Linked DNA regions of Elephas maximus indicus. The protein of the gene in region 3 interacts with the protein of the main gene of each other region in a biochemical or structural test. Links are inferred from orthologs where the notes say so. Each region holds a gene or a part of one and is shown on either strand. Other genes may lie near its edges. The genes, in order: WBP2, ESS2, NEDD4 and FGFR1.

Evidence for each region.
Region 1: of the proteins of NEDD4 (region 3) and WBP2, one has a biochemical effect on the other in vitro, tested with the Homo sapiens proteins (6 studies listed by BioGRID, with this or other methods). The link is inferred for Elephas maximus indicus from reciprocal best matches to the Homo sapiens genes NEDD4 and WBP2.
Region 2: the proteins of NEDD4 (region 3) and ESS2 interact in a test that uses a peptide from one of them, tested with the Homo sapiens proteins (2 studies listed by BioGRID and IntAct, with this or other methods). The link is inferred for Elephas maximus indicus from reciprocal best matches to the Homo sapiens genes NEDD4 and ESS2.
Region 4: the proteins of NEDD4 (region 3) and FGFR1 form a complex in vitro, tested with the Homo sapiens proteins (2 studies listed by BioGRID and IntAct, with this or other methods). The link is inferred for Elephas maximus indicus from reciprocal best matches to the Homo sapiens genes NEDD4 and FGFR1.

The regions. Positions count from the first base shown.
Region 1 is NC_064837.1:66,099,843-66,107,132, forward strand, and holds the start of WBP2 (WW domain-binding protein 2), read right to left. Parts: upstream 3,007-7,290; 5' UTR 2,976-3,006; coding exon of another isoform or gene 2,917-2,975; intron 1,101-2,916; 5' UTR 1,080-1,100; coding exon 973-1,079; intron 772-972; coding exon 663-771; intron 1-662. UniProt on the Homo sapiens protein: Acts as a transcriptional coactivator of estrogen and progesterone receptors (ESR1 and PGR) upon hormone activation. In presence of estrogen, binds to ESR1-responsive promoters. Synergizes with YAP1 to enhance PGR activity.
Region 2 is NC_064840.1:34,786,536-34,793,641, forward strand, and holds the start of ESS2 (splicing factor ESS-2 homolog), read left to right. Parts: upstream 1-4,097; 5' UTR 4,098-4,146; coding exon 4,147-4,281; intron 4,282-5,494; coding exon 5,495-5,663; intron 5,664-5,752; coding exon 5,753-5,848; intron 5,849-7,106. UniProt on the Homo sapiens protein: May be involved in pre-mRNA splicing.
Region 3 is NC_064831.1:46,258,130-46,266,099, forward strand, and holds the start of NEDD4 (E3 ubiquitin-protein ligase NEDD4), read right to left. Parts: upstream 3,001-7,970; 5' UTR 2,923-3,000; coding exon 1,420-2,922; intron 1-1,419. UniProt on the Homo sapiens protein: E3 ubiquitin-protein ligase which accepts ubiquitin from an E2 ubiquitin-conjugating enzyme in the form of a thioester and then directly transfers the ubiquitin to targeted substrates. Specifically ubiquitinates 'Lys-63' in target proteins.
Region 4 is NC_064840.1:62,287,209-62,294,579, reverse strand, and holds the start of FGFR1 (fibroblast growth factor receptor 1), read right to left. Parts: upstream 3,006-7,371; 5' UTR 2,349-3,005; intron 2,342-2,348; exon of another isoform or gene 2,054-2,341; intron 1-2,053. UniProt on the Homo sapiens protein: Tyrosine-protein kinase that acts as a cell-surface receptor for fibroblast growth factors and plays an essential role in the regulation of embryonic development, cell proliferation, differentiation and migration.

The DNA.
Region 1 (7,290 bases), on a different chromosome or scaffold from region 3:
AACAGCAATAGAGCCATCCACCCCCTGCTTGGTGTAACACCCTTGGGTGTTATAACCATGGCTAGAATGTGCGAGCGAAGATGCCAACTTGAACCCCCAAAGACGGGGTTTTGTGACACCCCACTCCCTGCTTCTCTCCTTCAATGTCTATAAGGCTAACCCTTGGGGAGCTATAGGCATTATCCTCCGGAAACCTCTCAGAGTCTGGGTGGGTAACTCTCCACCCCCCCAGGAATGCCCTGCCACTTCTCACTCTGTGGGTTTGCCAGGCTCTCTATCCAGTCCAGAGGGCGAGGCCATGCTGCTGGGTTCTGGCTGCACATTTGTCACTCTGAGTGTACATGGAAGCCCCACCGGCTACTCTGACAGAAAACGAGATAATAAAGCCTCTCTACTCCAGGCCTGGGTCATGCTAGCAGCCACATCCAACGACACAGAGACTTCACAGTGGCAGCTTTGGAATCTGCGTGGATCCGTTGCCCAGAGACCAGGTCAGCTACATAAGGAGGTCAGTGGGTCTAGAATCTGGGAGCGTGTGACTGAGAAACACAGAGCAAGGGTTCAGAGGCCAATGGACCCACGAGGCCAAGGCGGACCTGAGACTCACACCCCCTTTCGAGGGCAACGAGCCTCAAAACCAACTGTCCCTCTATGCGACTCACCCGGTACGGGGTCAGGTAGGCAGTGCCTTTCTTGGTCCCTCTGAAGGCCTCAGGCACGTTTCTCATGTCGCTGAATGTAAGTTCCACATGGTCATAGGACATCAGGATGCTGTGACAAGAGGGGACAGGCTGAGATGAGACTGTGTGGAAACAGGTTCTGGACCTCCTGGGACTGGGCCTTCCAGGTGAGCAGTCGCCTATTAGCAGCTGTCCAGCACCCCCTCTCGTATAAATGGAGGAAACCATTAATACACCCGTCAACGACACGTACAAGGTGGAGTTCCGGAGAAGTCCTCCAAAGCTCACTTACACAGCCCTCACGTGACCAGCGCAGTCACGAGACGCCAAAGCCCCTCCAGAGGCAGGATGGATGATCTGGGTTAATGCTTCTATTTTGTGATAGGTGTTCTGTTCCATTTCTTGATTTGTTTCTTATGCCTATATAAAAATTCTAAGATGTGACTTTGTAGCTTAAAAAAAAGGCTTCCTTTAGGGTTCCTTTAAGCCTGAGATTCTTTACCTGGGCCCACCAGGACCGGATCGGGGAGCCCTTGAAATGCCTGCGCATGTTCATTGCTCTGGGAGGGCCCCTTGGTCTCATTACCCTCAAAAGGGTTCACGAAGATTAAGATTCACTGTTTTCAACATCAGAGGCCCTGGGTGATGCAAACGCTTAACACGCTAAGGTGCTAATCAAAGGCTGTAGGTTTGAGTCCACCCAGAGGAGCTGTGGAAGAAATGCCTGGTGATCTACTTCTGAAAAATCAGTACTGAAAACCCTATGGAGCCCAGTTCTACCCTGATACATACGGGGTCACCATGAGTCAGAATTGACTCAATGGCAACTTGTTTGGTTTATTTTAAACATTGGCTTTAAATTTCAATTATTATATATACATTTTTTTTTTTTTTTCCCCAGAAATGAGGCCGAAGAATCTCCTAAAGCTAGGCACACCCTACTTTAATACTCATGGAGCACTGAACCAGGTAGGAGGACGAGCAAAATAGATTTTTGTCTCAGAAAAGTCCTGCTGAGAGAGAAAGAAAAACAGCCCCAGGAGATGTTCCCAAGAGTGTTTGCCCAGAGCCAGGAACTGGCTGCACACAGACAGCTACAAACCAGTGAGCAGTATGAGGTTTCTGATTATAAAACAAAAAGGTCAAGTTCACACGGCTCCATTTGTCTCCTTCCACCTCCCAAATATAACATTCTTGACTGGGGAGGGGAGCGGGATAAGTGGAAAAGAGAACTGATAATAGAAAAGCACAGCTCACAGAAATGACTAGAAACAGTCGGGGTATCTGGGTAGGTTAAGATGGAGGGGGAGTCAGAATTCGGAAGTCCGAGTTCATCCTAACTGTCTCCTCTGACTCATCGAGCACTCCCAGGTGACAGGTCCCGAGCTGGATGCTGGCCCTGACTCCATCATTTCTCCTCTGGTGACTCAGGTTCCTAAGCTCCTTCTGACTCCAAGATAAGCACGTTTCAAATGAGGGCTGGCTGGTCTGATTCTCAGTGGCCAAAAATCTAGAGGGCAGAGAGCCATGCCCACGTTGAAGGAGAGAAGAATCAATTGGGCAAGCATGTGACAAGAGGCAAGGGACCAACCTTCACAAGGACCCGCACCGTGCCAGGAACTGTCAGACACTTGACAAACAGTATCTATTTCACATTTGGAGCCTCAGCTTCTCTGCAGTTAAGCCTATTGACTTGGGTCAGGACTCATTTCCTGGAATCCCATCTCTGTTATTTACAGCTCTATGATCTCGCCAAGTTATTTACCCTCTCTGTTCTTTAGATTTCCTACCAGTAAAATGTGTATAATAGTATCTGCCGCACAAAATGGTATGTATTAAATTGGGTAGAACAGGCGCAGGGCCCGACACGTAGCAAGGTAGTAAACAACCGATAAATGACAATTATGTTTGTCTAAGGCTCTTCCCAGCTCTTATTAAAGTCATCAACTCTAGGAAAGGGGCTCAACACCCACCCCTGGGGTCCATCTCTCTCCTGAAACCCCGTCCCCTCCCTGCCGAGTCCCCTCCGCAGCTGATCGAAACATTCCGGCCCCACCCCCGCGACCCACCCACCTCCCTCCAGCCCTCCCCCCAGCCGTTACCCCTCCCCCCCCTCCGCCGCACCTCATCAGTTTCTCCTCCTTATGGGTTTATTTCCCACATCCCACCGCCCACTGGCTGCGCCATAGACACCCGCCCTTCAGCCCCCCCCAGGATTCTTCCGCAGTGTTTTCACCTCTCGGTGTTGTTGACGATCACTCCGCCACCCTCCGAGTGATTCTTGTTGAGCGCCATAGTCTCGGAAACGGGTCCCGAGACTCTCAGTGCAGTGCGCTTGCGCCCCTCTTTGGCCCGCCCCCAGTGGCGTCGTTCGTATTAGAGTCAGCCAATCATAGGTCTTGAGCGGAGGCTGGGCCAACCACCTGATCCCTCACGTCACGTGCTATGGTTTACTCCCTGTTCCTTCTACTTCCGCCTGCGTCACAAACTAGGTGAAGACTACAAGTCCCAGGAGGTAATGCTCTGGCAACCTCGACCTCTCCCTATGCTAATGAAAGGATGCATTCTGGAACTTGTAGTCTCCCAGATAAGAGGCCTGGATTGACTAACCCTAAACCTGTGTGGGAACCGAACAACAAACAAGAAGACCCGTGTGCAGGAGCCCTCGTGGCGTAGTGGTTACAGTGCTTGGCTGCTAACTGATAGGTCGGCGGGAGGATATTTGGGAGAAAGATTTGGCAGTCCGCTTCCTAAAGATTTGAGCCTCGGAAACCCTGTGGGGCAGTTTTACTCTGTCCCATAGGGTCACTTTAAGTCGGAATGGACTCTACGGCAAGGGGTTTGGTTTTTGGTTTTGAATCTTGTGAACTCCCCACCCTCACCCTCAGTGAGAATCCACTGCCATCGTGTCGATTCCGACTTATAGTGAATGGAAACCCTGGAGGTCTAGTGGTTAAGAGCTACAGCATGGTATATTGAATATACCACGGACTGCCAGAAGAAGGAATAAATCTGTCTTAGAAGAAGTACAACCAGAATGCTCCTTAGAAGCAAGGTTGGCGAAAACTACACCTTACATACTTTGGCCATGTTGTCAGGAGGGACCAGTCTCTGGAGAAGGCCATCATGCTTGGCAAAGTACAGGGTCAGCGGAAAAGAGGAAGACCCTCAAAGAGGTGGATTGACACAGTGGCTGCAACAATGGGCTCAAGCATAAGGACGATTGTGAGGATGGCGCAAGACCAGGCAGCGTTTCCTTCTGTTGTGCATAGGGTCGCTATGAGTCGGAACCCACTGACGGCACCTAACAACAACAATGTTCCCGGACTTGTGTAGTCGCTAGGGTCTGTTCTCAGAGTGGTGGGGTGGCTGGTTGGCAGAGAAGAAAGGATCAGAAAAACCGTCATCCCTTTAATCAAATCAAACAGACCCACCAAGGCCGTAGGTGGGGAGCGGAGGCTGGCTCTGGCGCCCAGACGTGATCACCCCCAAGAGCCACTGTTCGGCTGGGAGCGCGCCAACCTCGCCGCCGCCTCCACCACGGCTGGCCTCGCGGCGGCGCTGCTGCCTCTAGAACGATGCTCTGGCTTTGCGTTCCGGCCCCGCCCTACGGAGTCCAGGCTGGAAGATATAAACTCCGAAAAACTGAATGAGAGACCGGCAGTCAGACCGTGTCCTTTACAAAATAGGGCTGGCTCATTTCAGCCTGTGACCCAGCACTGGGCGTGCCTCACGGCTTTGGCTATCTAAACCCCGCGACCCGGAGGCGGATCTTTGAGGGGGAACGTGGGGACCTGTCTCATGGAGGGTTCTGGTCTATCTTTAATCTTAAGGGAGCCTAGTTTTTTTTTAAGCAGACTGCAGATTTCCCAACACGTCATGACCAACCTCGTGATCCACCTGCGTGGCTATTTGAGTGAGATTTCCCAGATAAAGGATCGAAAACCCACCTCACCAGACAAGATCATGAAACAGACAACAGTCTTCTGTGAAGTCTTGTGCAAGATCAAGTTGGACCATGAGGACAACTGTAATTAATTAAGGATGGACATGATGAAATCTACCCCAACTGGTTACATTAATTCTGGTGCATGTGATCTATAAACCGAACCCGGTGCCATCGAGTCGACTCTGACTCATAGCGACCCTATAGGACAGGGTAGAACTGACCCATAGAGTTTCCAAGGGGCGCCTGGCGGATTCAAAGTGCCCTCCCTTTCCTTGGTTAGCAGCCTTAGCACTTAACCACAAGGCCACCAGGGTTTTGTGCAGGGGTTAAAAAGAATTGTCTAACTCTGGGTAGTGACCTGGAAACCCTGGTGGTGTAGTGGTTAAGTGCTATGGCTGCTAACCAAAGAAAGGGACGGCACTTTGAATCCGCCAGGCGCTCCTTGGAAACTCTATGGAGCAGTTCTACTCTGTCCTATAGGGTCGCTATGGGTTGAAATCGACTCGACAGCACTGGGTTTGGTTTGGTTTCTTGGTTTGGGTGGTGACCTAGAAAAATTGTTAAGGTATATCAAGTAAAGAATGGTGCATAAATATGCTTCCATTCATATAAAAAATAGGAGCTATGTAAATGGTAAGGAGCCCTGTTGGCACAGAGGTTAGGCATTCCATTTGGCCGGTGGTTTGAACCCACCAGTTGCTCCATGGGAGAAAGATGCGACAGTCGGCTTCTGTAAAGATTACAGCCTTGGAAACCCTATGGGGCAGCTCTACTCTGACCTATAGGGTCATTATGAGTCAGAATCGACTCGATGGCAACTTTTTTTTTTTTTTTTTTTTAACGTAAATGGTTAATGTCCTTGGCTGCTAACTGAAAGGATGGAAGTTTGAGTTCACCCATAGGCACCTCAGAAGAAAGGCCTGGTGATCTACTTCCAAAAAATCAGCCATTGAAAACCCTGTGGAGCCCAGTTCTACTCTGACACATGGGGTCTCCCTGAGTTGGACTCACCTGGACAGCGACTGGCTTTTATGTATATATGTACATATGGAGCTCTGGTGGCAAAGTGGGTAAGAGCTCCCGCTGCTAACCAAAAGGTCGGCAGTTTGAATCCACCAGCCACTCCTTGGAAACCGTATGGGGCAGTTCTACTCTGTCCTATAGGATCAGTATGAGTCAGAATTGACTCAGTGGCAATGGGTTTGGTTTAGTTTTATATAATATATATTTAATTTCTGGAAATATCCACCAGAAAATGTGGTATTATCCCTATGAGACATGGGTCCGGCAGTTTGGGGTGGGGTGGTGACCCAATTGGAGCCTTGGTGGAGAAGTAGTTAAGAGGTCAGCTGCTAGCCAAAAGGTCAAGAGTTCGAGTCCACCAGCTGCTTCTTGGAAACCGTATGGGGCAGTTCTACTGTGTTCTATAGGGTCGATATGAGCCGGAATCGACTCCACAGCAATGGGTTTGGGTTTTCTTTTTTTGGTTTAGTGACCCAATTTGCATTACATACTCTTTGGCTTTTTTTACTATGTACATTTTTAAATAATAATAAATTTCATAAAGAAAGAGAACATCCACCCAGCATTGGGTCTGCAAGAATGTCTGCTCTAAGGATCATAAAAAGGAAGGTGGGAACAACAGTCCAGCCCCACCCTCACCCCTTTGCCAAACTAGGTTGGAGGCAGAGGCAGCTCTAGGTTTGGTGGGACCCGAGCTTATATGATTTCAGAGTCCCTCTTTAAAGAACAAATAAACGGTGAGTACAAAATACCTGTGGCCACACTGAGGCCTCCTGACAGGAGGGGAAATTCGATGAAGAGAAAGTGGGAATGGAAAGAGATAGCAGGCTTAAGAGATTTCGGCTAAAATGTCTGACTTATGCAAATTTTATAAAAACATATAGCTATGTGAACACTTTGCTAGGGCCACTCCCAGGCCTTGGATGGGGCCTGTTGTTTCCAGCACCCACACTGAAGGGCTCGGTGACAGTTCACTGCTGAACCCAGTCAGCAGTGACAGCCTCTCTCTGGGCCTGGGCCTCAGAACTCTGACCCCTCCTGCCTTCTATCCTACACAGCATCTCATAGGTGCTGCCTATTTCTAAACCAAAACAAAAAAACAACCCAAACCCATTGCTCTCGAGTTAATTCCAATTCATTGAGACCCTATAGGACAGAGCAGAACTGCCCCATTGGGTTTCCAAGGAGTGGCTGGTGGATTCGAACTGCCCGCCTTGTGGTTAGCAGCTGTAGCACTTAACCACTACCACCAGGGTTTCCAAGGCAGTTATCTTTACGGAAGCAGACTGCCACATCTTTCTCCTGCAGAGCAGCTGATGGGTAAACAGCGGACCTTCCAGTTAACAGCCGAGCACTTAGCCACTCCACCACCGGGTCTCCCGAACCCATTGCCATTGAGCCAATTCTGATTCAAAGCAACTCTGTATGATGATGATGAGAGATGATGAGCCTGTTTCCAGTAACAATCATCTTTTTTCATGGTATCGTGGAAGAAAGGCCTGGTGATCTGCTTCTGTTAAGATTATAGCCAAGAAAACCCTATGGAGCAGTTCTACTCTGTGACATACGGGGTTGTCATGAGTCAGAATCTACTCAACAGCAAGTAACGACAACAACGTAATTGCCCCTGTGCTCAGA
Region 2 (7,106 bases), on a different chromosome or scaffold from region 3:
GGAGGGCATGCTCAGCCCCTAGTGCCCTCTCCTTCCCCAGTGAAGGGGAGGGCTGGCAGGGGAGCAGGTCCCATGGAGGAAGGGAGCATGCAGGCCAGACTCCCCAAAGCCCCTCAGGAAGTGCTAACCCCACACCAGAAAAGGAACCACCTCTTATGAACACGGGGACCCAGAGTCTTCTCCACTGGAGTCTCCTTCCCCACTTGAGGACATTCTGCCATTCTGCCTCTCTTCTCTCTTCCAGTATGGACATACAGTCCTACTTGGTCACAGCTGACCTGGCGTACTACCTCGCCCCCCACCTGGATAGGTGCTGTGGGGGGTGGGGGAATCTGTGCACATCCTAGTGTGTCAGGACCTATAGAATAGGAAGATTGGATGATGTAATCCCCAGAAGCCCCCTCCCCTGCTCCTTAGTCCTGTGAGTCTCATGTTGATACTGAGAAATAAAACAAGCAATTAGACTGCAAAAGCAGTCCAGAGTATGAAGTTCACTGTGTGGCTCCCCTTCAGAGCCCAGCTGGGGCCCTGCCCCTCCTCCTTCCTTTTCAGGGATTTGAAGCCTTGTATGTCTTTGGGAGGGAGCACAGTTGAGGGAGCCCTCAGGTGGAGTGAGCCTGCACAGTCCCTGTGCCAAGCTTTCCCCCAGCAGAGCAAATTGCCCCCTGGATCATAGCCTGGCACCCTGGGGTCAATGCTGGCCACTAGGTGCTGTTAACCCACTTCATGGGTGGCGGGTTCCTTGGTTTCCTCCTCTCTGGAGGGTTTCCATGCTGTGGTGTTGGCCTCTCACAGGGCAATCAATCTCTGCCATCCTAGGGTAGGGAGGTTGGCCTGGGAAGACCCCCGCTGCTCTGGAAAATGCTTACCCTTCCCTCCATCATCCTGGCCCCAGGGTGAAGTATAGCATGAAAACATAGTTTCTGTTCTCCAAGTGGGACCATACAGTGGGTCCAGGGAACCCAGCACCCCCTTCATCTGACTTGGGAAACTTATTTTGTCTCTCTGTAGTTACTGGTGGGAATTGGGGGAGGTGTCTCTGGCAGGGGAGCCCCTGGGTGGTATAAAAGGTTAATGCATCAGCTGGCTGGAGGCTCAAGTCCACCCAGAGGCACCTCAGAAAAAAGGCCTGGTGATGTACATCTGAAAAATCAGCCACTGAAAACCCTGTGGAGCACAATTCTACTCTGACACACATGAAGTCACCATGACTCAGGATCAACACGATGGCAGCTGGTACTGAGTATCTGGCAGGAGACAAAGTCCAGCTATAAAACATGCAGAAATCAGGGCTTTAGCTCCTGGGACACTCCAACGCATGGTGTCCCTCAGCCCAGACTGCCCTAGTATGCTGGTAGAGCAGCTTTGTGACAGCCAGAAGCCTCAGGCAGAGGCAGAGGTTAGCTTCTGGCTGTCACAAAGCTGCTCTTCTCCCTGAACCCTGGCCTCGCCCTTGGAGACTGCACTTGTAGATCTAAGGACATGACCATATCCTGGCCAGCATCCCTGAAGACTGGGACACCCCCCCTCTCACTGGGTTCCAGGCCCCTTGTCTCCTTTGGCTGAGTGGATATTTGTTATTATGCAGGGCAGCCATGAGTCAGAACTAGCCCGAGCTCCGCCTTCCAGGGACCAGTGGCTATGCCACTCTCCTGGCATTTCTCCTTCCTCTCTAGCTGCTCACCTGGCCATTTACATAGGCATTCTCAAGACTCAGTCCCAATCATTCCCCTCCCATCTCCATTCTTTCCCTGGCTTTTCTCTTCCACCCTCAGGATCTGGTTTTCTTCTCTCTGCCACATTTACATGTCAGTCCCAGGCCTCTCCCCTGACTGTTCCCTTGACTACTCCACCTGAAAGCCCACAGGCTCCTCAGCCACTTTGTCCACAGTGAACTCTTCCCAGGTTCAAACCAAGCACATGAGCCAGGGGGCTGATAATCACCCTGACTCCTCCCTCTTCCTCACTCACCATACCCAGGCCAACAGCAAGTTGATTTTACCTGCACAGCCCCACCCCTCAATGTGTCTTCTCTCCAGCTTCTGCTGCACCATCCTGAACCACCATTTCTCACCTTGACTATTGCAGTTGCCTCCAGGCTTGTCTACTTGCACCCACTCTGTCTCCTCTAATTCATTCTCCATAAAATCCAAGTGCAAATCTGAACCTACCTTTCCCCTGCCTGCAGCACTCCAAGGGCTTCTCATTGCTCCCAGAATAAGTTAAAACTCACCATGGCCCATGAGGCCTTGTGTGGCTTGGGTTCTGCACCTCTGGTGTCATCTCATACCTTACTCCTCCTTGTACTCCAAAGGTCAGCTTTGGAACTTGCCTTGCTCCCTCCCACCACTGGGCCTTTGCACATGCTCTTTCCTTTTTCCCTGATCAATGCCTGTTCATCCTTTGGCTCTGCAATCACTTTCTGCTCAGGGAAACTTCCTCTGACTTACCCCACTGGGTCAGATTCTCCAAATACAAGCTCTTTTCTTGCACTTGTCACAGCTGCACTTTTATGCTTGTTTGTGGGATGATCTAACTAGTGTCTGTCTTCCCCACTGGACTGTCATCAATATGAGGGCAGGAACTATCACCACGGAGTCCCCAGGGAATGAAAGGTTGACTGCATACTATAAAAGTAAAGTTATACTAAATTTGTTTGGGTAGAACTTATTTGATGTGTTTCTCCTTTTGGAAAGAAATTATTCCTGAAAAATGCTTAAGACAACTTTTGGTCCACTTTAGTGAGAATTAGTCCTCTTCTGGGAAGCCCACTCTGCTGATTGTCATTCAGGGACCTAATGATCTTTAACTAGACATTTCTTTTTTTTTCTTTTTGAATTTTTAAAAATTGTGTTTTAAGTGAAAGTTTACAGTTCAAGTTAGTTTCTCATACAAAAATTTATACACACATTGTTATGTGACCCTGGTTGCTCTCTCTATAATGTGACAGCACACTCCTCCTTTTCACCCTGGATTTCGTGTGTCCATTCAACCAGCTCCTGTCCCTTTCTGCCTTCTCATCTAGCCTCTGGACAGGAGCTGCCCATTTAGTCTCAGTTCTTACTTGAACTAAGGAGCACACTCTTCACAATTATCATTTTATGTCTTATAGTCTAGGCTAATCTTTATCTGATGAGTTGGCTTCAGGAATGGTTTAGTTCTGGGTTAACAGAGAGTCCAGGGGCCATGTCTTCTGGGGTTCCTTCAGTCTCAGTCAGACCATTAGGTCTGGTCTTTTTTACTAGAATTTTCATTCGGCACCCCACTTTTATCCTGCTCTGTCAGGGACTCTCTGTTGTGTTCCTTATCAGGGCAGTCATTGGTGGTTGCCAGGCACCATCTAGTTCTTGTCCCAGGCTGATAGAGTCTGTGGTTTATATGGCCCTTCTGTCTCTTGGACTCAAATTTTCCTTTTGTCTTTGGTGTTCTTCATTCTCCTTTGCTCCAGGTGGGTTGGGACCAATTGATGCATCTTAGACAGCCACTCGCAGGCTTTTAAGACCCCAGATGCCACTCACCAGAACATTTTCTTAAAAAACTTTGTTATACCAATTGACCTGGATGTCCCCTGAAACCATGGTCCCCAGGCCCCCACCCCTACTACTCTGTCTCTCAAAGTGTTTGGTTGTATTCCAGAAACTTCTTAGCTTTTGCTTTAGTCCAGTTGTGCTGACTTCCCCTGTATTGTGTGTTGTAACCAGACATTTGTTTATTGAGCCACCATGCTTTTTTTGTCGTTAGATAACTATCAGAAAATAATTGATTTTTTTCTTGCATAAAGTTTGAATTTAAACTTTGAAACGCGTATATAACCAAAGTTTCTGAAGAGCAATTTTCGTTAACAATATAGATGGCACACGTAGTGATTAACTTTTCACCATTAAAGTGAACACACGCCGCCGCAACCGAGGTCCTCAGCATCCATAGCCCAGCCACGCTGACGAACGTAGGGCAGGACGGAGGCTGCAATTGCCTTCAGGCTCAGCGCTCGTAGTGACGTCACATCGCAGCGCAGGCCGGCCTTCGACGCACGCAGCTCCCCGGTTGGCTGGCTGTGTAAAGCGCCTGCGCAGTTGGTGCAATTCTGATGACGTTCCCCTCCGCCCTGTGACGCTTCTGCGCCGTCGGAACAGTGTTGGGATAGCAATGGAGATGCCGGGAGCTTCGGCCCGGGTCCTGGTGCTCCCCAATGCGCCGGGGTCCGGGAGGAAGCGCACTGCGAGGGCAGCGGGGGCTGCAACGAGCAAGCAGCAGATCCTGGACGAGGAAGAGTACATCGAGGTACGATCTTGGTGCGGAGGCCGGCCCCTCCCCGCTTTTTGGTCATTTCTTGTCTCTTGAGTTGCTCCTTTGGGGTCGTGGCGCGCCCCTTGTCGCTTTGCAGAGTTGGAGCAGCCCGAGTCCTTGCCCTTGGGGTGTGGAGTGTCCCGAGGGGCAGGCAAACAGTGCAGAGGGAGGTGTCTTTGAGGGGCGAGGTATTAGTAGTGTTATCAGGGGAAGGAGGCGGCAGCGGCTCCGTCTGTATGTGGTGGGGGTCAGGGAAGGGAAGTTTTCTGTCAAAGAATGAGTAGAAGTCTGGCAGAGCGGAAGGATGGTGGCGAAGAGGGCGATGACAGCAAGTGCAAAGACTAGGTGCTGGAAACAGGCTGCGGTTGTGGCGGCATCATTGAGTGCGGAGACCTTGGTGGACCCTTGAAGTGGGTGTTGGTAACTTGAAGTCGGTGTTGGTCCTACTGTAAACATGTAGAAGGAATTGGCAGGGGGATTGGAGGAAGTTATTTCGCTTTTAGACTGGTAAAATTTGGGATGCTTCTGGGATATTCGGAGCTCTGGTGGCGCAGTGGTTAAGAGCTTGCTGCTAACCCAAAGGCCAGCAGTTAGAATCCACGAGCCGCTCCTTGGAAACCCTGTGGGACAGTATTGCTCTGTCCTGTAGTGTTGCTGAGTCAAAATCGACTCAATGGCAAGGGATTTGGTTTGGTTTTGGTCGGGGATATACAGGTAGGTGTTATCTGTGAACAGCTGGGTGCACAGGTGTGGAGCTTAGGAGCAAGTTCTCAGACAAGCGTTGTCTCAACTGGTGGTAGTGGTGGTGTAGGCCATGGGATGACTGGTTGAAGTCACCCAGGGAAAAAAGAGTTTAGATTGGAAACAGGAAGTGGTGGCAACACTCACATTAGTGGCAGTGGAGGTGACAACACTCACATTGGTCCTGCTGGTACTGTGGTGGAGCCAGCAAAGGAGAATGAGAACAACCAATGAAGGGAAGAGCGAAGGGTTTTGTGGAAATCGAAGGAGAGTTTAGTAGTGTTAGATGTTGCAGGTATGCCACACAGGATGTTCTTCCCTGATAGAAAGTGCCCCCAAGCTCTGGGAATTGGTTGGTTGCTGGTCATTGGGGCAAGCAAAGGTTGGAGAGACTCAGCAACAGTGGACTTAGAGGTGGGGGTGCCCAGATGGCGACTGTGACTTCTGTTCTGATCTCTCCTGACAGGGCCTCCAGACAGTCATCCAGCGGGACTTTTTTCCTGATGTGGAGAAGCTACAAGCACAGAAGGAGTACCTGGAGGCCGAGGAGAATGGAGACTTGGAGCGAATGCGCCAGATCGCCATTAAGTTTGGCTCTGCCCTGGGCAAGATGTCCCGAGAGCCCCCGCCCCCCTGTAAGGACTCTGCGGGTGGCAGAGATGAGAAAGCCAGCTGAACTGTTGCCTCAGGCTCGCTCTAATCTCCATCCCCTCTCATCTCCTAGATGTGACTCCAGCCACTTTTGAAACCCCTGAGGTGTACACAGGCCCTGGCATGGTGGGCAGCAAGCCCCAGCCCCGGGGCCGAGGACCAGAGGATGGTGAGTGAATGCCCTCCTTCAGTCCCACAGTTAGGATTGCCCAAGATTCTCATCCTATGAAGTCCTGAGGTGGTCTAAGAGGGCTGTAGATTACTTCTTGTCCCCCAGGGGTCTAAGAGCACTGGTCTAGGAGACGGAAAGATCTAGGTCCCTCTCCCAGACATGGGGCAGTTCTTTGAGCCTCTGGCCCTCCTCTCTAGAATGGGAATAATGCCACCTCCTCCAGACTGCTCATTGTGTGCCAGGCACTGCCCAGGCACTTCATGGACCTCAGAGTGCTCCTCTCCTGGCTGTTTCCATAAGACCCCTCAGAGCCTTTGCAGATAACTGTACAGCTTGTTCCTTCCCTTCCTTCAGGCCTCTGCTCATATGTTACCCTTTCAAGGAAACCTTTCCTGAGCTCCTAATGAAAAGTAGCAACACTCCTGGCACTTTGTGCCTTCCCACATGGCTTTACTTTTCTCACTGTAGGGCCTAACATTAAAAAAAAAAAAAAAAATCGTATTTGTTTATTGTCTCTCCTTACCTAGCATTCTCTCCGTGAGAACAGGGACTTTGTTTTGCTTCCATCTGTATCGTTAGCATCTAGAACAGTGCATGGTATGTTGTAGGCATTTGGCAAATATGTGTAATTTGAACAAATGAACAAGTTGTCTCCCATGTGTTTACTGGGGTGTAAGGCATTCAGGTATATACGTTCCATTCAAATTTCACAAGGAAGTTTCTTAGGGTAGAGCATTTTGAGTACTGTTCAATATGAGTGTATTGGAAGGGGCAAACTTCTTGGGGTTGAAAGCCTGTGACTGGGACTTTCTCATATTCAGGTTATCTCCTTGTCATTAGTAGAATGTCATTGCATGCACAGTTGGACAGACGTTATTTTCTACTAGGTTGTAGCTACGGTATGCTGTGCTAACATGGATGCTGTGTGTGTCCACAGAGATGTGATGTCTTCTGCTTCAAAACCCAGCTCTTCTCACATTAGCACATTCCATCGTGTTGTGTTCTCAGAGCTTGATTCTCCAGGTGAAATTTGACACATGAATCACCTTATCTGCCGTAAATACAGGAATTCTTCCAACAACTTAAGTCGTAGGTACCATTGTCATTCACATCCACCGATGAGGAAACTGAGACTCAGGGAGTGAAAAAATGGTGTGGTAGCATCTGACTTCCTTTAACTTCACAAGGCGGGAGGAGAATCAAGATCATCAGCACAAGCCTGATCACTGTGAGGTAGAGGTCAAACATACCTTTT
Region 3 (7,970 bases):
ATTAATTTATCAGCAGCATGTAATTCAATTAGAAAACTATTAATCTGTTTATCCATAATATCACTTCACTGCTTTCTTTTGGGGAGAAAACAGCTGAATGGCTTATAATCTCCTAAAAACTAGTTTTTAAAAAGTTTTCTAAATGGAATTAATAATTATAAAGCATAGATCAGAATTTGAAATCTCATCTTTTTATCCTCTGTAAAATAAGTTGCTTGTATTGGCATCTGGGCACTGGGCAACAACGACTATATTTACCAAATTTCAAAACAGAAAACTAACAATTACCTAGTATTTTATTTACCTAAAGCTATTTGACCAGTTGTTTTGTTTTTAAAACCCTTAATACATCGGACGTTATATAAACACAGTAATAAACAGATAAGCTTACTTTTTGCATACCGACATCCAGAACTGGTTTAGTCACATAATTTTTTAAATGTCCTAGAATCTGGCAAGACCTTCCAAATATAGAAATTCAAAAAATTTAAGTTTGAAACACTTCAGAAAGTCAAATTGTAGCAGGAAATGTTTGGGTTAAGATTCAATTGAGTTAAATTACTAATATAATAAAGCAAAAATATCAAAACAACAAAATTATTAATAAGGTAACTAGAAAATTCTGGGAAATGCCTAGCAATCAAAAAAATTTTTAAGTATAAAATTTAGAATTTAATTCTGTTGAAATATTGAGTTACATTTTAGAAAGCAGTCTAAACTGGTGGCTAAAGAAAAATAGGGTGGAAACAAAATTCCTGTGGTTAAGGGTATATACAAATGCAAACGCCACTTACTCTTCCTCTGTGCTAAGCATGCAACATCATAGTTTTTATCAATGATCTAATAAATACAAACATTTTAAAGAAACATTTCCTCTGTGTTCATTAATAACAAGATCTTCACATCTTTATGTGGGTTTTTATCATTTAGTATTTTAAATAAGCATTTTACATTCTACTTTATTTCATAATGACTAAGGAGGGGAGAAAATTAAATGATCCTTTTCTAAAGTAAGGATAGAATATGAAGTTAGATATGAAAATACCATGTCACTTGAAGGAAAACATATCAAGACAAAATGTTATGAAATAAATTATTGTTCAAAGCTTATTTTAATACTACAGAAATGTTTATGGCTTAAATCACTTAGGAAAGTTTTTTTTTTTCTAATGTATATAATTTTTACATTGGCAAAATAACAAATGGAGTGGAATACTATTAGGGAGTTCCTCAGATTTTCAAATACAAAGTTCATTACTACAAAATACTTGCTAGTTAAGAACCAAGGAATTACGTAAAACTGCTAAGTTATAACTCGACGGCACTGGGTTCTGGGTTAAGTTATAGCAAATTTTAGCCAAATATTTCTTTAAGTTATTCTAGTATAAATTAACATTTACTAAGACCAAGGAAACGTACCTTTCGAGAATGCTTCAAAGAATGAGATGGTTCATCTGTGACATCTCTGTTGCCGTCTCTGGATAAATCACTAACTTTACCTACATTTCCAGTGGCAAACTTTATGTGTAATTGAGATGGTCCCCCCTTGGAACAACTGTGCTTAAGGCTGGATAAACAGGAAACGTTTGGATAAGTTCCTCCCAGTGAAATGCTCCTCTGTAAAGTAGCATGGTTTTTGTTTGTCTGTGAATTTGGTCTTTCCAACTGTCCACTGATATTTATTTGATAATCGGTACTTTGGTTGGGTTGTAGACAAGCAGATGTCCTATGCGTGAGCTTAGTATACTCTGTATCGGAATTTCGGTTCATTTCTGACATCTCTGGTTGACAGTCACCGTTTGCTGCTTCACAATCAAACGTAGTTGCTTTCTGTTGGGTGAAATGCACTGAAACACAAGAATATCCATCGGGTGACTCTTCGCAGACAGTCTGCTTTGGACTATTACTTGAAATAACCATTTTCTTTTGTAACGAGCCCTTTTTGTGAAGTGGCCTTATGTCTCTCCCTTCTCCAGGAGCACAAGTTGTTTTCGATAACCGCAGTCCATTGACAGCCGTTGAAAGAAATCCCTTAGCAGCAGTACCATCTTCAGTGTGCGCAATTTCACTGGGAGAAATAATAAACTGGTGTGAAGTCTGATAGGATCCTTTGCTTGAAAGAGTGCCTGTACTTGTTGGAGAAGTTGGTGGGGTATTTGAAGGACTCCTAGGAAAAACAACTAAGGAGGAACAACGTTTCAGTGGAATTTTGGAGTTCCTGCTCACCGGCAACTTCATAATCTCTATCCCATGGTCCAGGTCATCCTGGACAAAGGGAACTGTGCTCATACTTCTTGAGAAAACGTCACATGGAGTAGGGTTCCTGTCTGGCACACTCCTACTGGACGTGGTCTCAGAAGATAAGTTTCCACCAAAAAAAGGATCATCGCTTGGTGGAAAAGTACAGCTACTGCTGTCACTGATGACACTGTTAGTGTATGAGCCTCCACTCGTGATGCTTGTACACGACCCATAATCACTACCATTGCTGCTGTAAGACCCGTTATCACTGGCTAAAAAGTTACTAAGGCTACCACTACAAACAGCACTCAGTTCATGATCAACCACAGTATTGCTGTCAATGCCTTCCTTCAAGACACAAGTAAGGGAGGCGTCATTACCATCGGTTAAGACATTGCTAGACTGAAGACATCCACTGTACCTTGCTGGCTGTAGTGAAATCTGTAGACAGCTGCTCTTTTTATTAACATTTTCAGACGATCTTTCCTGAGACTTTACTAAAGGAGCCAGTGCAGCCTGTCGGGGAGTCAGCTTCATCTGAACCACGTTAGACGCTGAAATCCGTGTAGGTCTCCTGAAGCACATGTGAACATTGCTCTCCAAATCATCTCCGGAGCTTTCTGACAAAGGGTAAGTATTGCTTCTTCTGGCTGCAAAGTGCAATCGTAAGCTTTGTGCCATTTGTTCTCATTTCCAAGCATGTTAAGGGCTGAAAGTCATAACAAAGATCTCTGGCCGTAGACAGGCTAGAAGCAGCTGCACTGCATCGAAAGAAAAAATCATTTGTGGTATCTGAAAGAGTCTTAAGCAGCAGCCTTCACCCTTAGTAAAACGCTAGATACCAGATATCACAGAAAGAAAAAGACGACCCAGTCCTGAGAATGACGTTTCCAAAATGTCTTGAATCGCTTGTAGTCAAAACGCCTTCACTCACAAAGCACTTGATTTCCAGCGACCTTTAAGCTCAGCTCAGCTCAGCAGCAGCACACTGACTCAAACACTGCCAACCTTGTTTCAATTATACCTTCTCCAATTTGCATGAGTGAGTAACACAGGAACAACAATCTCCTAGCATTTCAAGCTGAAACAGTATGTTTTCCCTCCAGCTCTACTAAATGCACATTTAACGATTGGAACCACTGTGCCTGTACTTTCTCCGGCCGACTTTGGCCACTAATATTTTTACCCGTAGGTATAGAATTACAGGAAGTTGGTAGGAATGAAACCTCATGTAATTGAGTATCAAATCAAGGATTGAATTTCCAAATAGTTGCCATACTAGGAATCCGATCAAGTTAATGTAGAAGGGAATATATACAGTTAATTTTTTTACATGGTAAGTTCAAACAGTTCAAAATTTGGAAATACGAAAACTTTGGGGTGAAATAAAACTTTACCATTAAATCAAATAGACAAACAGTTTAGCTTCCAATTGCTAGTTATAAAAGCTGAAACTGTAAGGAACAGAACTACAAAATTAGCATAGTAATACTACTACAAACATTGAGCATGGGACCGAGGGAAAAAAAGTTTAAGAGAAACTGTCACCAAGCATTTTCTCCTGTAATCTTAAGGCCTTTTCCAGCCAAGTAGCACAGTCTTTAAACGATGCCATTTATATTTTGACTATTAAAACTCTGCCAAGAAATAGGCTAAGCAAACATTCCATTAAAAATACATGCAGATTAGGCAGAAAAACTATACGCCCATATAGCTGGAGCACATAGAATATTTTATTCCACTGTCTCTGCAATTCATTCAGCTAAGAGAGGGCTGTGGTAAGAAAGAAGTCTAAAAAAGATTTAACACATCAAATAAACATATCTCAGCGCCAATTCTGTTCTGAAGAACTGGAAGAGCCCTTTGCTGGCCCCTGCTGGTGCTTTGAAACCATCCTTCTAGCTGTTAGATATCGCCGAAGAAATACAAGCCACGCTGCATATTTCTTTAGATAAACAAAGTGCATATTTGTTTACATTTTTGAGTACCAAGCACTGCCCTCGAGGTGGAATTACTTACTACTACCGATAAAGCTCCTACCACGGAAAACAGTAGACTGTTTGTCCTCTTAGATGTTGTGATTTTTGTACATATGCTTTTTTTTCTGTTTTGTATTTATTTAACCTTTCATTTATTTTCAGTTTACTAGGTAATAAAAGTTTAATATTTTAATTTTTCCCCCAAATGTCGTTGACCAAGGTTGGTATTCTACTTGAAAGAAACAAATTTATTTTTAAATAATACTCTAGGGTATATTTAAACCCCTTACCTGAATTTTATAGTTGGAACTCCAGTAATAAATATATACTGGCTCATTCATAGGAAAGTGAAAAGTAAAATAGTTCCGTTGTTTATACCACATGGTACTACACCCAAGCTGTATTTTTCTAAGTAAGTTTTTTTCCTAAGCAAAAGCAAACATATAAAACATATACTTGTACCTTGTTTTTTTTTTAAAAAACTGCTTACGATAAATCTGCTTTCAATCACAATTTTCTGAACAGTGTTTTTAATTAGTTAAGACTTGACAAACTAGAAATATGGGAATTTATTATAGTTCTGACAAGAATGAGATAGTACTATATTTTAGAAAGTGTACAGTAGTTACAAAGTTAGCGATAAAGTTCATGTTATTTTGGTTTCATATAGCCTCCCTTACGATTATACAGACTTCTGCAAATATTCTCCTATCATCCTTTTTCTTTATAGAAGAAACAGTCAATCTTTTTACTTTGCCTTCAAGTGACTTCAGCTTTCCTTTTTGGGTTAAGTTAGAGGTCTAACGACTCAAAGAACAGATTATTTTTAGACGACTAGTCAAAAGAGATCTAACCACTCGTGTCTCTGGCCTAAAGTGTCCAGTCAATAAGCAAAGCTCCCCTGACAGTTAATATAAAATTATGAACCCATGTATGTGACCAGATGAATGTCTTCTCATTGGTAAGCTTCGCTGTAAGCATTAGTTTCATGTCCCCTAACTAGATTTTAAAGCTTCCAGAATGTGAGGACCACAACTGTACATTTCTTCTGACCTCTTGGGCTCATGTCAGGCAGACTCAGCACTAAAGAACCAGAGAGAAGGCTGAGTGGATGGACGGTCATGCAGTCACTCTGACTGCCCAACACTGCCTTTCAGGTTTTGTGTTATTTTTTTAACTTAAGTTGATCCAGCTGCTACTTGTAAAGAAATATTAAAAAACACTGCAGCTGGATAAGAAGGAGTGATGCTTGAAAATTTTGGAGAAAGGAACCCAGCCAAGGAAAGGTAAGAGAAATACATGCATTTCCTAGAAACCCAGTCTGAGTTTAAATTCTAGAGAGGTTGAACAGCCTGCACTGTGGGCTGAGGTCTGGGATCGTACAGGATCTGTAGAACCATCACAGCAGCTGCCATGTGGAGCCTGGTGAACCTAGGGTAAAACGTAGGCCCTTAGCCCAGCAGCTGCCATGTGGAGCCTGAGGGACCTAGGATAAAATGTAGGCCCTTGCCCCAGCAGCTGCCATGTGGAGCCTGAGGAACCTGGGGTAAAATGTAGGCCCTTACCCCAGTAGCTGCCATGTGGAGCCTAGGGAGCCTGGGGTAAAATGTAGGCCCTTAGCCCAGGAGTTGCCATGTGGAGCCTGGGGAACCTGGGGTAAAATGTAGGCCTTTAGCCCAGCAGTTGCCAAAAGAAAAGCCTCAGCCCTCACTCAGGTGAGAAAGAGCTAGAGAGTAGAAGCTTAGAGGTAGCCCCTTATAGCAGGAACCTATGCAAGGCCTATAGAATTTCATATTCTGGAATTAAAAGGATAATGTCTCAGGATTAGATGGAAGCTTATGGCCCACATTCTGAGATATTTTGGTTATTATTATTTGCACACACAGAAAACAATGTGATTGCATACATGGTGTGGGTGGGCTCTGAGTAACCCTAACCACTGACTAGAGCTTTGAAGGCTAGAGACCATTAAACCTGAGAAGCACAGCATCTCCACTCAAGACAAAGCAGTCTGCTAAATCCTTGGTGGCTAGATGTGTGCATATAGAACTTTAGGTCGGTGAACAGAGGCACCAACTTTTGCACTGGTGGGTAAAATCTTCTTAAAGGCATACCACTCTGAAACATTCCAACACTGTCCACACCACCACCACGACCCACCAAGCCACTACTACAGCTTATAGTTCTCGGTATTAAACTGGCTGAAAAAGAGGGTCTATAAGCCACCTCTTTCTCAAAAGCAAATATCAGTTATATTGTAAAACTTTTCCAGATGACAAGAAATGGTTTCTGCTTAGATTTCTAACTGCGCCGTCTCCTTCCATTTCCCAGGAGAATTTGCTAAGAAAAGGATGTGTCCCTAATTTAGCTGTGAACGCTACAGGAGAATAAAGGTAGAATGACATCACAGTGCACAGGCCAGTCACTGCTGGAGAATCACGTCTCACTCCACCAACAGCTATAACCAAAAACCAAACCCGCTGCTGTCAAGTCGATTCCGATTCACAGTGACCCTACTGGACAGAAGAGAACTGCTCCACAGGATTTCCAAGGAGCAGCGGGTGGATTCGAACTGCCGACCTTTTGGTTAGCAGCCGAGTGCTTAACTATAGCCACAGTTTCTATGATATCTCAGTGACCTACACATTTCAATTACCTGCTAGAACTAGCAACAAATCAAAGGACCAGAACGACACACACCACTCTGTTCTAATTGTCTCTTGCTCCCTTTGGCTGGTAAAGTGAGCTTCTTGAGAAAAGTAGCTGTATTTCTAATGCATAGCAGTCATCTAACTCAGTAGGTACACTAAAAGGCAACCTCAGTTAATACAAAAATATGGCATCAGAGAGCCATAAACACATGTATCCACAAATGTTAAATAACACTTCATATTTGTATCATGAATAATTTTCTGAGCGCTTTCATAGCTGCTGTCTCATTTTAAACTTAACAATAAATTTATGATAAGCAGGGCAAATACTGTTATCCCTGATTTTTAAACACGAGAAACTATTTTCAGAGGGACTGAATGACTTGCCCAGGGTTACAAGCTAACATGCCAGAGCAGACGCAGGGTTACAACAGGGCTGCTGACTCCTTGGTGTGGAGATAGACAATATCATGATTAATGCATTTTTTTTTGTTTTTGCTTTTACTTAAAAGTTTTTTTTTTAATTTTTGTTATATTTACCAATCTGGAAACATCCAATCGTTAACATCAGAGTAACTTTTTTTTTTCTTCCAACTCATCAAAAACTAAAAAATCAAACCCTCTGCCATCGAGTCAATTCTGCCTGACTCACAGCAACCCTCTAGGACAGAGTAAAACTGCCTCATAGGGTCTCCAAGGCTGTAATCTTTACAGAAGCACAGTGCCACATCTTTCTCCCACAGAGCAGTTGGTAGGTTAGAACTGCAGACCTTTTGGTTAGCAGCTGAGCACTTAACCACTGTGCCACTAGGCTCCTTTCCAACTAAAGGACACTACTAAATTTATAACAAATGCTCAACAAATGTTAATGTACCAATCAGTAAATGACAAATATCAATTTCAGCAATGAACAGTCAGACCACACTAAAGTTACTGTCAAGAAGGACTAGACAACTATGCAGGCTAGAAAGCTGTGCCTCTTATAGATAACATGCAAAAAACTCAAACAATAAAGCAGTTCACCAACAATTCACCCAAAAATCAGGGAGAAATTCACATCAGTATCAGTAACAACAGGAAAAGTAACACACTAACACCA
Region 4 (7,371 bases), on a different chromosome or scaffold from region 3:
GTCACTGAAAGGAAGAGAGATGACCCAGGCTTGGGGGTAATTAGCTAGACCCAGGCACATCCCACGGGACCCTGCTACTTAGCTTTTAAACTAGCCTCAGAGAGGAAACTGGGATATTGGCCCAGGGGGGGAAATGGCTACTTTCTGCTAAACCTTCTCAAGGCTAAGGTTCTACAATTTAAACAGTATTCCAAAAAAAGCACGGGTCCGGAGGTGCACAGGGCATAGCACATCTGGGAGGGAAACAGTCACCTTAATTACCATGTCTAGAGAAAGTGCGATTTCATTACAGCCTCCAAAACTACCGCCCAAAGAAGGAAACCAGAGAAGTGTTTTCAATTTGAAAGAGACTGCAAGGGAGAGGGCGAGAGAGACCAATTCTTCCCACCTTCTCTCAAGTTTGGACCAGAAGGTGCTTTCCTGCCTCAAAGGCTATTACAAAAGGACAACTCAACAATCCAACCCCGGCTTTCAAACCTGTAGCCTGTAGCCGTAGCCGTTATTTATTTAAATGGTCAAGTGCCCCACTTTCGTTTCCGGGGGCTGCAGCCCAAATAACTCCTTGAAAACACACAGGGAGCGCCTCTGGCAGCAGCAGTCCCACCGCCTTCGCACGCCCCCACCCTCGGCCACTGGACACTGAGTGCAAAAGGGACGTGTGACTGCCATCGCTGGGGCAGCCCCAGACCGGCTTCTCGGAGGGACCGCGGGCTCCGGACAGGGGCAGACAGTTTCGCAGCTCCAGCGATAACTGAAGGAAGCAGACAGCAATGCTTTGGTTCCAGAAACTTCCATCAGGGCCAATCTTGGGTCAGACCCACGGCCAAAGAGGCCTTCTCTGGCAGATGAACCATTCGTAAGTGCCACCCCCCAAAACCTTGGCCCCATCTCCCACGACGTCTCTTTTTTCTACACAATCTAGAAAGCATCCCAACCATCACCAACGGCTGAAACTAAAGAACGTGGGATCCAAGACAACTTTCTTTTCTCCCCGAATCCCACCTCATCCTCAAGTCTCTAGAAATTTTAAGGGCGGAGGTGGCAAGAACGTGTTGAAGAGTCCTAATTTTCATTTGGGGGAGGGGAGGAAGAAGGATGGTAATAATGTGGCTTCGGTGTACCCGTGTGGGGTGAAACGGAACCAGATGCGGCTGCTACATCTGGAAAACGGAAAAAGGAAAAAAAAAAAAAGTGTTGCGGGAGAAAGACACCGCAGAACTGTTTTTTGTTTTGTTTTGTTTTGTTTTTAAAGGGCTAATAGCTCTGGGCCCAGAAAGGACATGCCGGTTTCCCTCCCACTCCACCCCATCACCCCAAAAAGAGGTGCCTGGCTGCCTTCTCATGGTGTGTTGTATGAGCCCCACCTAAAACGTCAATAAATTCCTCTGCAAAAAAGGGTTCTAGCCCCCCTTCTCCCCACCCCAAACATAACGTGAGGGGGCAGCGGGGAGCAGAGGGGTCTGGGCCAGAAAAGTCACAGGCATCGCTACAGAGTGAACCTCACAAGAGAAAACCCTCATCCCTTCCCCCACCTCCAAGAACTAGATAGGAAGTAAACGTTCCCCTCTTCCCCCCATATGGGATGTAACATCACCCGCTGGGTGCGCTCCCCTTCCCCAAACTAAGTAGAAGATAACCTCCTCTGGAAAGAGGAATTCCTTCCTCGCCCTTCGCTAAAGCAGATTCAGCCATTTGGTGACGACACCTCCTTAAAACCTATTCGAAGAGAAGCGATCCTGCCCCCTCCCCTTCCTTCCCTCTTCAAGGCCTTACCCACCCACCCCCAACTCCGACCCCAGGCTTTCCCGGAGGAAGAAAAGGACTTAGAAATAGCACAGATTTTTAGCGTTCAGTCCAAGGCTACCTGCTGGATTGGGGTGAGTCACCAGGAAGGGACCAAAATGAGATGGAGTGGAATGCAACGCACGCACACACACTCACGCACACACACACACACACCCCACCTCGCTGCCCACTCCCGCCCTCCTCCCGGGTCGAGCAGCCCCAGGGCCGCCGCAGCCTCGGCCCTGGCCCTGGCCCTCTCCGGACTCACCGCCGCGCCGCCGCCGCCGCCTCGCCAGTTCCAAAGCACAAGTTGGCGGAAAAGTTGAGCAGCAGGAGGAGCGGCGGGACCAGCGCGGGGAGGGGGCGCAGAAGGCGACGCGGGCGGAGGGGGAGACAAAAGAGGGGCGCAGAGCCCAGAGGTGGGGGGGCGGGTAACGAGTGGAGGGAGGCGCCGGACCCGACTGGGCTACAGTGGGGGGAAGCGCGCAGCCAGCAAGCTCCAGCGCCGGGGGCCGCTCGGGACGCCGAGCCCGCCCCGGATCTGGGGGCGCCGTGGCTCTTACCTCACTCGGCGCTGCGGTTCCGCCTCTGGAGAGTCTGCCGTGGCTTGTGCGGGCGGGCGGGTGCCGGCGTCCCCCGCTCCGGCCCGCCGCCCCCGGGCACCGCTCGGATTCTCGCCGGGCCGCAAGAAACCCGCGGCCGGCGCTTGGCTCCCGGTGGCGCTCGGTGCTCGGCGCCTCCAGCCCGGGCGGGAACAATGGAGCCGAAGCTGGTGCCCCGGAGGCGGGGAGGGGGGAGGGCTCCTGTCCGCCGCCCGGGGTCTCCAGACCCTACGCCCCCCCTCCGCCGAACCGGGCGGCGGTGGCTCACGCTTCTTGCAGCCCGGGCTCCATCGCCCTGCGGGGGCCGCGGCGTGCCCGACTGCAGCACTGGTACGGTGCGACCTGCGGAGCGCCCCCTCGGACCGGAGAAAAGTCCTCGGTCTCGGCTGCTTTTCCAGCTGCGGCGCGAGCTCGCCGCTGGGGTAGGCGAGGTCGCCGCAATGCGCTAAGCAGAGTCTCGGTGCTGTCCGGACGTTGCCGCCCCGCTCCGGGCACGGCCCGGGTTCCTCCGGCGCTGCGGCTGGACCGGGGCTCCCACTCTTGCTCGCCGCCGCCGGCTGCCGAGCCCTCCGCACCAGTGCCCGCAGGAGCGCTCCGAGCGCTGTGCGCCGGCGAGGCGCGAGGGCTCTCACACTCCCACACCCCGCTAGTCCCACCTCCTCCTCCGCCCCCTGCAGCTGCCTGCTGGGCCTTGTAGTTCTCAGCCGCAGCCCCGGAGAAGGGGGCAGCGGGACTGAGCTGGCCGGCACTCCTGCCTTCCTTTTCTGAAGTCTGGTCTCCTTTGGCGCCCGCGCCCTTCCAGCCGAGCATGGGGAGTAAGGCGCCCGTATTTCAGGCCATGGGCAGACTGGCAGTTTGGGGAGTGAGGTGGTTTGACGGGATAACCCTGAAGTTGTCCCTGACAGCATAGGTTTTGGAGTCTGAATGTGTGACTTGGGGAAATGATTTACTCACTCTAACTCTCGATTTTCCCATCTGTAAAAGGGGAAATAATAACAGTACTTTACATATAGAGCTGAGCATTAAATGAGATGTAGGTTTTGAGCTAGGAATCCTGGTGATACAGTGGTTACGCGCTCAGTTGCTAACTGAAAGGTCGGCGCTTGGAACCCACCAGCCGCTCCGCGCAGGGTGCTTCTGTAAAGCCGAGAAAACCCTACGGGACAGTTCTACTCAGTCCTATAGGGCCACTCCAAGTCAGAATCAACTTGATGGCAACGGGTTTGGTTTTAGGTTTAGAGCCTAGGACATAGCTATGTGCACATAGTTAACACTCAATAAATACAAAACTTTTTCTTTTTTTAATTCATGTGAAGGTCAATCCCCGCCTTCCCTTCAATCTCACTTTCCCCAATCACTTCCCTTCGGTTTTGTGGCCCACGGGAAGTTGGCCCTGTAAACTCTACAGCGCCATTCTTGGGCCTGCTGGGAATGTTAGAAAGCAAAAAATGAGTGTTGTTTTGGAAATTAATCAGAGCTCACCCATGCCGCACCCTGCATTGCTGTAAGGAACCCCAGAAAAGGTGGCTAAAACGTTCTTTCCCTTGGGTTCTGCAACAGAGTGATACAATCTGCTGTGTGCCCTCAAGTCGCTTCCAACTCATAGTGACCCTATAGGATGGAGTAGAACCGCCCTATAGGGTTTCCAAAGCTATAATCTTTTACAGAAGCAGACTGCCACATCTTTCTCCTGCGGAGCTGCTGGTGAGTTCAAACTGTCGACCTTTTGGTTAGCAGCCGAGCGCTTAACCAATTCTGCCACCAGGACTCCTTTGGTATTATCTAGTAGTTGCCTAATCCAAATGTACATGAGTTCTCTGAGGAACTTTTAAAAATATAAATTTTTGGACCTACTCAGAGGCTCCAAGGAGTCAGGAATCTGTATTTTTTTCTGAGGCTCCCATGGTGCCTGTGATGTGAGGCCAGGTTGGGGGCCACTGGGAGGGTGGAAGGTAGGCCTTATTGGGTATGAAGGAGACCTGATTTCAGGTCCTCCACTTGTGAACTATTTGAGCTTGGGCAAGTCAGCTGTCTGAAAAAAATGAGACAGAGGTATCTGTCGGGACTCCTTCACAAGGTTGTCACGAAATCAAATAAAATAATGACAGTCAGGGCACCCAAAGTGTTAACACAAATAGAAATAACTACGTAAGTTAATGGCAGGGCCTGTTCTCTCACCTCCACTCCACCCCAATCCACAAGGTCATTAAAGGTTCGGATATAGAGCGAGATTGGGCTTCCCAAACAAAGGAATGAGTCCCTAGGTTATTTCTCCATTTGACCAGCAGGTGAAAGAATAGTGACCAACACAACATCATCTACATAGTAAAAAAAAAAAAAAATTAGGCACTCAATAAATGTGTACTGACTGACCGAAGAGTAAATATTCAGTACATATTTGTTAAATAAATGAATAAATCAAAAACTAAATGGCAGGAAAGCACCTATTGGTGGAATAAATGGACTTCAGCCATTGTTTACAGGTTTTTCACCCCTTCATCCCTTCAGCCCTCCAGCTCCTGGACAGGTTACATTTACTTTTCCATATAAGCTGTCCACCCATTAGTCCTTCGGCTTTTAAAATAATGCTCATCCATCTGTAAGAAGGCCAAACTCACACTCCTCTCCACTCAGAGACACCTCCTTTGCCGTTCCCAGCCCCATTCAATCCTTGGCACTCCTACTGACCTTCCGGTATAACCCACTCATTTGATACTTAAAATAGCCTTTGTTAGTTGTCTTTTTTTTTTTTTACTCTGTGTTCTGTCTAGCTAGCTTCTGAACTGTTCTAGAGCAAGGATCCCTTTTATGTATCAAGTCTAGCTTAGGAGTCTGTACTCAGGAGACTTTTTATACATATTTGTTGTTGATGGACTTGATGAGGGTAACAAATCTGGGTTAGCACAAGAGGAAATACAATTTGAGGGAATATGATCGAGAAGATAAGTCATGGAAAATCCAGAATTTAATATTAACACACAACTACTATTTTCCCACTTTATCCCTGAAAGAGAGAGTATCATCCTTCCTCCTTATGATTCTTTTAAAACAAACAAACAAAAAAAAGCTCATGAGATTTTAAATCGAGCTCTTTTTTTTTTTTCTTTCATTTTAATTTGGAAGCGTTTGGGGAGTGCTTTGAACCCAAAAGAGGAGGCTGAAGAATGAGTCCTGGATTTAAACAGAATGATCTAGATGTCTTGTCTGATTGGTGTTGAGGCACATAGGCCTGCCGCCCAACAAATTCCTCTACAGTTTTAGCAAGAAACCAAAATGAAGCAAGTAGCCAACTTGATAGCTCTCTCTCCCCGAGTTTTTAGGGGAACAGTCAGATACGGCTGGAAGGAATGGAGGTGAAGAATCCAGAAACTAATGGAGGGATACACTGACCGCAGACAGGGCTCCTGAATAATTGAGAGCTGACTGCTTTTATCATTCTGGTCCCGCTCCTCATCCGTGCCACTCCCCTCCTTCTCTTTCTGAAATGCAGACCCTGCACTTCAGTCCCAGGAAGAAAGGCCCCGGGCCAGTGGAGGAGAGCATCCCCAGGGCCGCTTGAACCGCCCCAGGCAGCACGGGTCAGACGGCAGCTCTGCCCGCCTGTCCTGCACTGAGGGTTCCTGGCACCTTGCCTCCCCACACAGAAATGTAATCTTCCCTCTGAGATAACAAAGAGCTGGGAGGGTCAGGGAGGATTTGTAGGCCCCTTGCCCTGCCAGCTAGATGTCTGAGGGGGAGACAAAAGGCCCTCATGCTCGAGGACCTGATAACCAGTTGGGGGCCTGTTGCCTCCCGGATCTGAGGCGGGAGGGGAATGGTGCTGAATGAAACCAAGGGAAAGAGAGCTCTCCCCAAAGCCTGTTCAGTTCTCTTTGTTTGGGAACACTTGCAGAAAATCCCTCCCGTCTTCTTCAGGCTACTTGTGTCCTCGAAGTTCTTCCACCGAGAGGTAGTTCTCCTCTCTCGCCATACTCCCACTGTCCCAATGCACCCCTGCTCCGAATTTGGTTATTTCATTAGGCTCCAGCAGCCCCCATCAGGGACGAGCACCCTACTACACCGGGTAGGTACTGCAGAGTGAAGACCTCACCACTAAGGAGGTGGGGGGAGGCCAGGGACATCTGTACTGGGCGAGGTTGGGCCATGGTTCTGCTCTAGCCCAAGGCTAGAGGTTCCTTAGACAGGTTGGCAACTGGCAGGCTCAGCTCTGAGAGCGGGTTGCAGAAGGGGATTCAGGAGGAGGGGACTGTCTGTGTTTTCCCTAAGAAGTGGATCATTCACAGGTCCCTGGGAGCAGGTGGGCGGCAAAGGCTTTTGCCCCAGGCCCCTGGAGTTAGGGAGCAGCCGTCAGTTACCATCTGGCCACCATTTGGTGACCCCTGGCTGTTCCTAGCACAGCTTCAGCATGTCAGGGAAGGGAGGGTCTTGTTTGGCTTGGTGTTTTTGTAAATAACATTTCACTCTCTCCTACCAACTGGGAGCGGGAAGCGGAGCCAGCAACAGCAGCAGTTCAGCTTGTCTGATCCTAATGGTACATTTACTCACCAAGCATGGGGAGGGGGAACACTTGTTGTGTGTCAGGCACTGTGCTGGGCACAATAGATCCAAACATGTAAGAGACAAGGGCACCATCTCAAGGAGGTCTTGTTGGAGAAACCAAATGTTATAGGTAGTGCCACCCAGATGCACGTGCAGGGTTTTCTGGGAGGAGAGGTCAGGAGGCCTGGTGGAAAAGGAGATGGCTCAGGGAAGTGGTGTCTGAATCCTAAAGGATGACAAATGATGTGAAAATCTACAAACTCATCTTGGGTAACTGAGGAAGGCAAGACTAGAGAGGAGTCCCTGGGTGGTGCAAACACTTAACATGCTCTGCTGCTAACCAAAAGGTTGGAGGTTCAAGTCCAGCCAGAGGCTCCTTGGAAGAAAGTTCTACTGTGACACACATGGGGTCGTCATGAGTTGAAATCAACTGGAAGGCAACTGA